2 linked regions of the Arabidopsis thaliana genome follow. The protein of the gene in region 2 interacts with the protein of the main gene of each other region in a biochemical or structural test. Each region holds a gene or a part of one and is shown on either strand. Other genes may lie near its edges.

Evidence for each region. The genes of interacting proteins can lie anywhere in the genome.
Region 1: the proteins of NPR1 (region 2) and OBF5 form a complex in vitro, tested with the Arabidopsis thaliana proteins (2 studies listed by BioGRID).

Annotation. Positions count from the first base shown.
Region 1 is NC_003076.8:2,152,920-2,156,676, forward strand, and holds the start of OBF5 (OCS-element binding factor 5), read left to right. Parts: upstream 1-1,826; 5' UTR 1,827-2,126; intron 2,127-2,741; exon of another isoform or gene 2,742-2,757; 5' UTR 2,758-2,822; coding exon 2,823-2,888; intron 2,889-2,959; exon of another isoform or gene 2,960-2,964; coding exon of another isoform or gene 2,965-2,970; coding exon 2,971-3,042; intron 3,043-3,133; coding exon 3,134-3,193; intron 3,194-3,293; coding exon 3,294-3,371; intron 3,372-3,446; coding exon 3,447-3,498; intron 3,499-3,653; coding exon 3,654-3,757. Other genes in the region: AHBP-1B (bZIP transcription factor family protein), read left to right, coding at 65-116, 404-675, 769-1,014, 1,109-1,255.
Region 2 is NC_003070.9:23,853,929-23,857,685, reverse strand, and holds the start of NPR1 (regulatory protein (NPR1)), read left to right. Parts: upstream 1-2,027; 5' UTR 2,028-2,278; coding exon 2,279-2,839; intron 2,840-2,918; coding exon 2,919-3,654; intron 3,655-3,757. Other genes in the region: AT1G64290 (F-box protein-like protein), read left to right, coding at 1-292. UniProt on the Arabidopsis thaliana protein: Salicylic acid (SA)-binding substrate-specific adapter of an E3 ubiquitin-protein ligase complex (CUL3-RBX1-BTB) which mediates the ubiquitination and subsequent proteasomal degradation of target proteins.

The DNA.
Region 1 (3,757 bases), on a different chromosome or scaffold from region 2:
TCTTATTTCTATTGATTTTTATTTTGTTATTCTGTATACCTAACGGTAAATTTCTTGTTTCTAGGGCGTCTTCATTTCAGGCACAGGAGACCAGGCCCATTCTACTGGTGGAAATGGTTGGTTGCTTATTCTCCATTAGTTTTAATTATGTTTATTTTTTGGCTTCTAATTTGTGTATAAGTTAAGTTCATATATCAACTTCCTGTTGACTTGGTGTAGACTGATCAATTAGTACATCATATCTCATCCCATTACAATACACTGGGTTATCAGAGTCAGTGGCAGACTGACATGGTTCTGATAGCAAAAACTGTTATTCTAATTAGCACTGGTGTAGATTTAGATTTACAAGATGACGAATCTCATGGGTTTGTTTTGATCATGTATAAATTTTTTAATTCAGGTGCTTTGGCGTTTGATGCTGAACATTCACGGTGGTTGGAAGAAAAGAACAAGCAAATGAACGAGCTGAGGTCTGCTCTGAATGCGCATGCAGGTGATTCTGAGCTTCGAATAATAGTCGATGGTGTGATGGCTCACTATGAGGAGCTTTTCAGGATAAAGAGCAATGCAGCTAAGAATGATGTCTTTCACTTGCTATCTGGCATGTGGAAAACACCAGCTGAGAGATGTTTCTTGTGGCTCGGTGGATTTCGTTCATCCGAACTTCTAAAGGTGAGGTCAAATTTCACTTTGTCTTCACCGATTGCATCTGTTTCTACATAGAACATAAAAAGAATGGTCATAGGGAAAAATGTGTTGAAACAGCTTCTGGCGAATCAGTTGGAGCCAATGACAGAGAGACAGTTGATGGGCATAAATAACCTGCAACAGACATCGCAGCAGGCTGAAGATGCTTTGTCTCAAGGGATGGAGAGCTTACAACAGTCACTAGCTGATACTTTATCGAGCGGGACTCTTGGTTCAAGTTCATCAGGGAATGTCGCAAGCTACATGGGTCAGATGGCCATGGCAATGGGAAAGTTAGGTACACTCGAAGGATTTATCCGCCAGGTACAACACTTGTGATGTTTTGAGATGATATCTTAGTTAAGAGTATATATATATATCAATAGGTTAATAATCGTCTCTTGGTTGGTGGTGGCAGGCTGATAATTTGAGACTACAAACATTGCAACAGATGATAAGAGTATTAACAACGAGACAGTCAGCACGTGCTCTACTTGCAATACACGATTACTTCTCACGGCTACGAGCTCTAAGCTCCTTATGGCTTGCTCGACCCAGAGAGTGAAACTGTATTTTGGTCACATGTCAGCTGTACAAAATCCATATGGACACAAAACCAGGAGAGACTATTAATCAACACTTGTCAGATTCTTCTTACCAAATCCATCAACAAATAAGCAAATTTCTGGGAAACAAAAGACTCTTTGTATGTAGGTTTCTTCTACATGGTTGTGGTAATTCATGTTGTTTTAGTTGTAGTCATCAGTTTTTAATTTAGCATTTGAAAAGTTCAATGTTGTTTATATAGCATCTTCGATTATCTTAGAAAGGTTATTGAATTTTGTTTTTTTTTGTTACTTTTGTGTGTGGTAAAGGTGTTTTAACCTTGCAACTTCTGTACTGTAATCATTTAACAATATTAAGATGTTCTATTTGAGTTTTGTAGTTTCATCGCTTGTGTCTTAAATCTTATTTAGTGAGGATTCTAATGTAAACTTCCAAGAGATGATGAAAATGAATTTACATTCAAAGTAAGTGTGATAGATTTTTTTGTAATAAAAAAAGGGACATGTCATTGTCAAAACCAAGAATTATTTTGTTTTTAGAAAAAAGAGAGTGTTGCAATTTTCAGAGGACTTTTTAACCCTCAGCATCTAGAGGTCCACCATCACTTGAGTTTCGTCTTCCATTCCTGTTTTTTTTCAGAGACCGGCAAAATAAAAAAAAAGAAGATCGTACAACTAAAAATACCTCAAAGAAGGAAGATACAAAAGTAGTAACCTTTGTTGGTGATTGATACTATATCTGTTGTGGGTTTTAGACAAAGACCACGTCTTTGCAGTTGTAGATTGGAATTTTCCGGATCTTTCTCTAAATCGCTTTTTCTCCGAGCAACTTTTGTTTGGGGTTAAGCTCAAAGAATCCGTTCTTTTCAGGTGAGTCTCTTCTTCAATAGTCTTAGGGGTTTTAGTTCTTCAGTTTTCTTATTCTGCCTCTGCTTTCATGATTGTTTTTTTCCATTGAAGATTTTGACCTTTGAGGGAATTTTTTCCTTTTTGCTTTATGTACGTGTTAAGGATCCAAAATCATTATTTCGGACACTATTTAAACGAATTGGTTGAGATTTGATGTTATGAAGCTTGAATTTTGTGTCTTTTACTCTGTTTCCGGGGCTAGTTTGCTAAATTCTGAATCTTTTAGCTCTACTTCAGTCTAATGTTCAGATTAGTTACTGTTTCACCTCACGGAGAGCTTTACGCTATAGAAGTCCGTTGGTTCTCATTTCAAATCATATAGGCGTGCTTATTGTTTACTTTGATTCTCTGGCTTTGAATACTCAAAGTTCTTGAGGTCATTGGTTGCTTCACAGCTATGTGTTAAGTTTAGTGGTTTGGATCTTTATGTTAGTGTGACATAAATAGGGTGATGTATCGTATCATTGTTTCCACTTTCTTGATTCTACTTAATGCGTTGGTTTTTGGCTTAAAAATATGTTTTCTTTCTCTATAACTCTAATCTTTTGTTTATGTTTACCATCTTACTTTTGACAGTCTTTACTCCATCTAGGGTACCACGATTGGATCGGTTTTTATCTGATGATTTAGTAACAGAGATTTTGAAGAAAAAGAAAAATGGGAGATACTAGTCCAAGAACATCAGTCTCAACAGATGGAGACACTGATCATAATAACCTAATGGTTAGCTTGTAAAATTTCTAGGTCTTGCTTCTTTATGTTCATTAAATGGCCAAAGTTTTGAAATAAAACAGTATTTATGCAGTTCGATGAAGGGCATTTGGGTATCGGTGCTTCTGATTCTAGTGACCGTTCAAAGAGTAAAATGGATCAAAAGGTGAATATAAACATCTCTATTTTGCAAGAGTTTGGTTTTTGTCATTGAGCCTTTCAGTTATGTTTTTCTTGTTTGTTGTTGTAATCAACAGACGCTTCGTAGGCTCGCTCAAAACCGTGAGGCTGCAAGGAAAAGCAGATTGAGGAAGAAAGTATGCTTAGATTTATGTTCATAGTTTCAATTCTTTTATGTTTTTTACAAGCATAGCTATTTGCAAACTCTAAGATGTTTGTTGGTTACTGCACTTTTAGGCATATGTTCAGCAGCTAGAGAACAGTCGATTGAAGCTAACACAACTTGAGCAGGAGCTACAAAGAGCACGGCAACAGGTTTTAACTTTGTTCAGCTATATTTGTGTAGATATTTGCTCTGTTGCATACATAACATTTTTCTCTTAATCTTAGGGTGTCTTTATCTCAAGCTCTGGAGACCAAGCCCATTCTACCGCTGGAGATGGTGAGTTAGCTGAATCATAATTCATAACCATTTATTGATGATGTGGTTGAAAATTTTAGTTTTGTTGGTTATAAAGTAGAGCAAGCACTAGTTTGGTTGATGGTGTTGATCACTTTCTTGTGAGATAATTTTTTATGAATGCTTCTCTTTTACAGGGGCAATGGCATTTGATGTAGAATACAGACGATGGCAGGAAGATAAAAACAGACAGATGAAGGAGCTGAGTTCTGCTATAGATTCTCACGCGACTGATTCTGAG
Region 2 (3,757 bases):
TCAAGAAGATGTTCACGAGTTATGGGTTTTAAAGAGCAGTTTTGAAAAGTCGTGGGTTAAAGTGAAAGATATTAAAAGCATTGGAGTAGATTTGATTACGTGGACTCCAAGCAACGACGTTGTATTGTTTCGTAGTAGTGATCGTGGTTGCCTCTACAACATAAACGCAGAGAAGTTGAATTTAGTTTATGCAAAAAAAGAGGGATCTGATTGTTCTTTCGTTTGTTTTCCGTTTTGTTCTGATTACGAGAGGGTTGATCTGAACGGAAGAAGCAACGGGCCGACACTTTAAAAAAAAAATAAAAAAAATGGGCCGACAAATGCAAACGTAGTTGACAAGGATCTCAAGTCTCAAGTCTCAATTGGCTCGCTCATTGTGGGGCATAAATATATCTAGTGATGTTTAATTGTTTTTTATAAGGTAAAAAGGAATATTGAATTTTGTTTCTTAGGTTTATGTAATAATACCAAACATTGTTTTATGAATATTTAATCTGATTTTTTGGCTAGTTATTTTATTATATCAAGGGTTCCTGTTTATAGTTGAAAACAGTTACTGTATAGAAAATAGTGTCCCAATTTTCTCTCTTAAATAATATATTAGTTAATAAAAGATATTTTAATATATTAGATATACAATAATATCTAAAGCAACACATATTTAGACACAACACGTAATATCTTACTATTGTTTACATATATTTATAGCTTACCAATATAACCCGTATCTATGTTTTATAAGCTTTTATACAATATATGTACGGTATGCTGTCCACGTATATATATTCTCCAAAAAAAACGCATGGTACACAAAATTTATTAAATATTTGGCAATTGGGTGTTTATCTAAAGTTTATCACAATATTTATCAACTATAATAGATGGTAGAAGATAAAAAAATTATATCAGATTGATTCAATTAAATTTTATAATATATCATTTTAAAAAATTAATTAAAAGAAAACTATTTCATAAAATTGTTCAAAAGATAATTAGTAAAATTAATTAAATATGTGATGCTATTGAGTTATAGAGAGTTATTGTAAATTTACTTAAAATCATACAAATCTTATCCTAATTTAACTTATCATTTAAGAAATACAAAAGTAAAAAACGCGGAAAGCAATAATTTATTTACCTTATTATAACTCCTATATAAAGTACTCTGTTTATTCAACATAATCTTACGTTGTTGTATTCATAGGCATCTTTAACCTATCTTTTCATTTTCTGATCTCGATCGTTTTCGATCCAACAAAATGAGTCTACCGGTGAGGAACCAAGAGGTGATTATGCAGATTCCTTCTTCTTCTCAGTTTCCAGCAACATCGAGTCCGGAAAACACCAATCAAGTGAAGGATGAGCCAAATTTGTTTAGACGTGTTATGAATTTGCTTTTACGTCGTAGTTATTGAAAAAGCTGATTTATCGCATGATTCAGAACGAGAAGTTGAAGGCAAATAACTAAAGAAGTCTTTTATATGTATACAATAATTGTTTTTAAATCAAATCCTAATTAAAAAAATATATTCATTATGACTTTCATGTTTTTAATGTAATTTATTCCTATATCTATAATGATTTTGTTGTGAAGAGCGTTTTCATTTGCTATAGAACAAGGAGAATAGTTCCAGGAAATATTCGACTTGATTTAATTATAGTGTAAACATGCTGAACACTGAAAATTACTTTTTCAATAAACGAAAAATATAATATACATTACAAAACTTATGTGAATAAAGCATGAAACTTAATATACGTTCCCTTTATCATTTTACTTCAAAGAAAATAAACAGAAATGTAACTTTCACATGTAAATCTAATTCTTAAATTTAAAAAATAATATTTATATATTTATATGAAAATAACGAACCGGATGAAAAATAAATTTTATATATTTATATCATCTCCAAATCTAGTTTGGTTCAGGGGCTTACCGAACCGGATTGAACTTCTCATATACAAAAATTAGCAACACAAAATGTCTCCGGTATAAATACTAACATTTATAACCCGAACCGGTTTAGCTTCCTGTTATATCTTTTTAAAAAAGATCTCTGACAAAGATTCCTTTCCTGGAAATTTACCGGTTTTGGTGAAATGTAAACCGTGGGACGAGGATGCTTCTTCATATCTCACCACCACTCTCGTTGACTTGACTTGGCTCTGCTCGTCAATGGTTATCTTCGATCTTTAACCAAATCCAGTTGATAAGGTCTCTTCGTTGATTAGCAGAGATCTCTTTAATTTGTGAATTTCAATTCATCGGAACCTGTTGATGGACACCACCATTGATGGATTCGCCGATTCTTATGAAATCAGCAGCACTAGTTTCGTCGCTACCGATAACACCGACTCCTCTATTGTTTATCTGGCCGCCGAACAAGTACTCACCGGACCTGATGTATCTGCTCTGCAATTGCTCTCCAACAGCTTCGAATCCGTCTTTGACTCGCCGGATGATTTCTACAGCGACGCTAAGCTTGTTCTCTCCGACGGCCGGGAAGTTTCTTTCCACCGGTGCGTTTTGTCAGCGAGAAGCTCTTTCTTCAAGAGCGCTTTAGCCGCCGCTAAGAAGGAGAAAGACTCCAACAACACCGCCGCCGTGAAGCTCGAGCTTAAGGAGATTGCCAAGGATTACGAAGTCGGTTTCGATTCGGTTGTGACTGTTTTGGCTTATGTTTACAGCAGCAGAGTGAGACCGCCGCCTAAAGGAGTTTCTGAATGCGCAGACGAGAATTGCTGCCACGTGGCTTGCCGGCCGGCGGTGGATTTCATGTTGGAGGTTCTCTATTTGGCTTTCATCTTCAAGATCCCTGAATTAATTACTCTCTATCAGGTAAAACACCATCTGCATTAAGCTATGGTTACACATTCATGAATATGTTCTTACTTGAGTACTTGTATTTGTATTTCAGAGGCACTTATTGGACGTTGTAGACAAAGTTGTTATAGAGGACACATTGGTTATACTCAAGCTTGCTAATATATGTGGTAAAGCTTGTATGAAGCTATTGGATAGATGTAAAGAGATTATTGTCAAGTCTAATGTAGATATGGTTAGTCTTGAAAAGTCATTGCCGGAAGAGCTTGTTAAAGAGATAATTGATAGACGTAAAGAGCTTGGTTTGGAGGTACCTAAAGTAAAGAAACATGTCTCGAATGTACATAAGGCACTTGACTCGGATGATATTGAGTTAGTCAAGTTGCTTTTGAAAGAGGATCACACCAATCTAGATGATGCGTGTGCTCTTCATTTCGCTGTTGCATATTGCAATGTGAAGACCGCAACAGATCTTTTAAAACTTGATCTTGCCGATGTCAACCATAGGAATCCGAGGGGATATACGGTGCTTCATGTTGCTGCGATGCGGAAGGAGCCACAATTGATACTATCTCTATTGGAAAAAGGTGCAAGTGCATCAGAAGCAACTTTGGAAGGTAGAACCGCACTCATGATCGCAAAACAAGCCACTATGGCGGTTGAATGTAATAATATCCCGGAGCAATGCAAGCATTCTCTCAAAGGCCGACTATGTGTAGAAATACTAGAGCAAGAAGACAAACGAGAACAAATTCCTAGAGATGTTCCTCCCTCTTTTGCAGTGGCGGCCGATGAATTGAAGATGACGCTGCTCGATCTTGAAAATAGAGGTATCTATCAAGTCTTATTTCTTATATGTTTGAATTAAATTTATGTCCTCTCTATTAGGAAACTGAGTGAACTAATGATAACTATTCTTTGTGTCGTCCACTG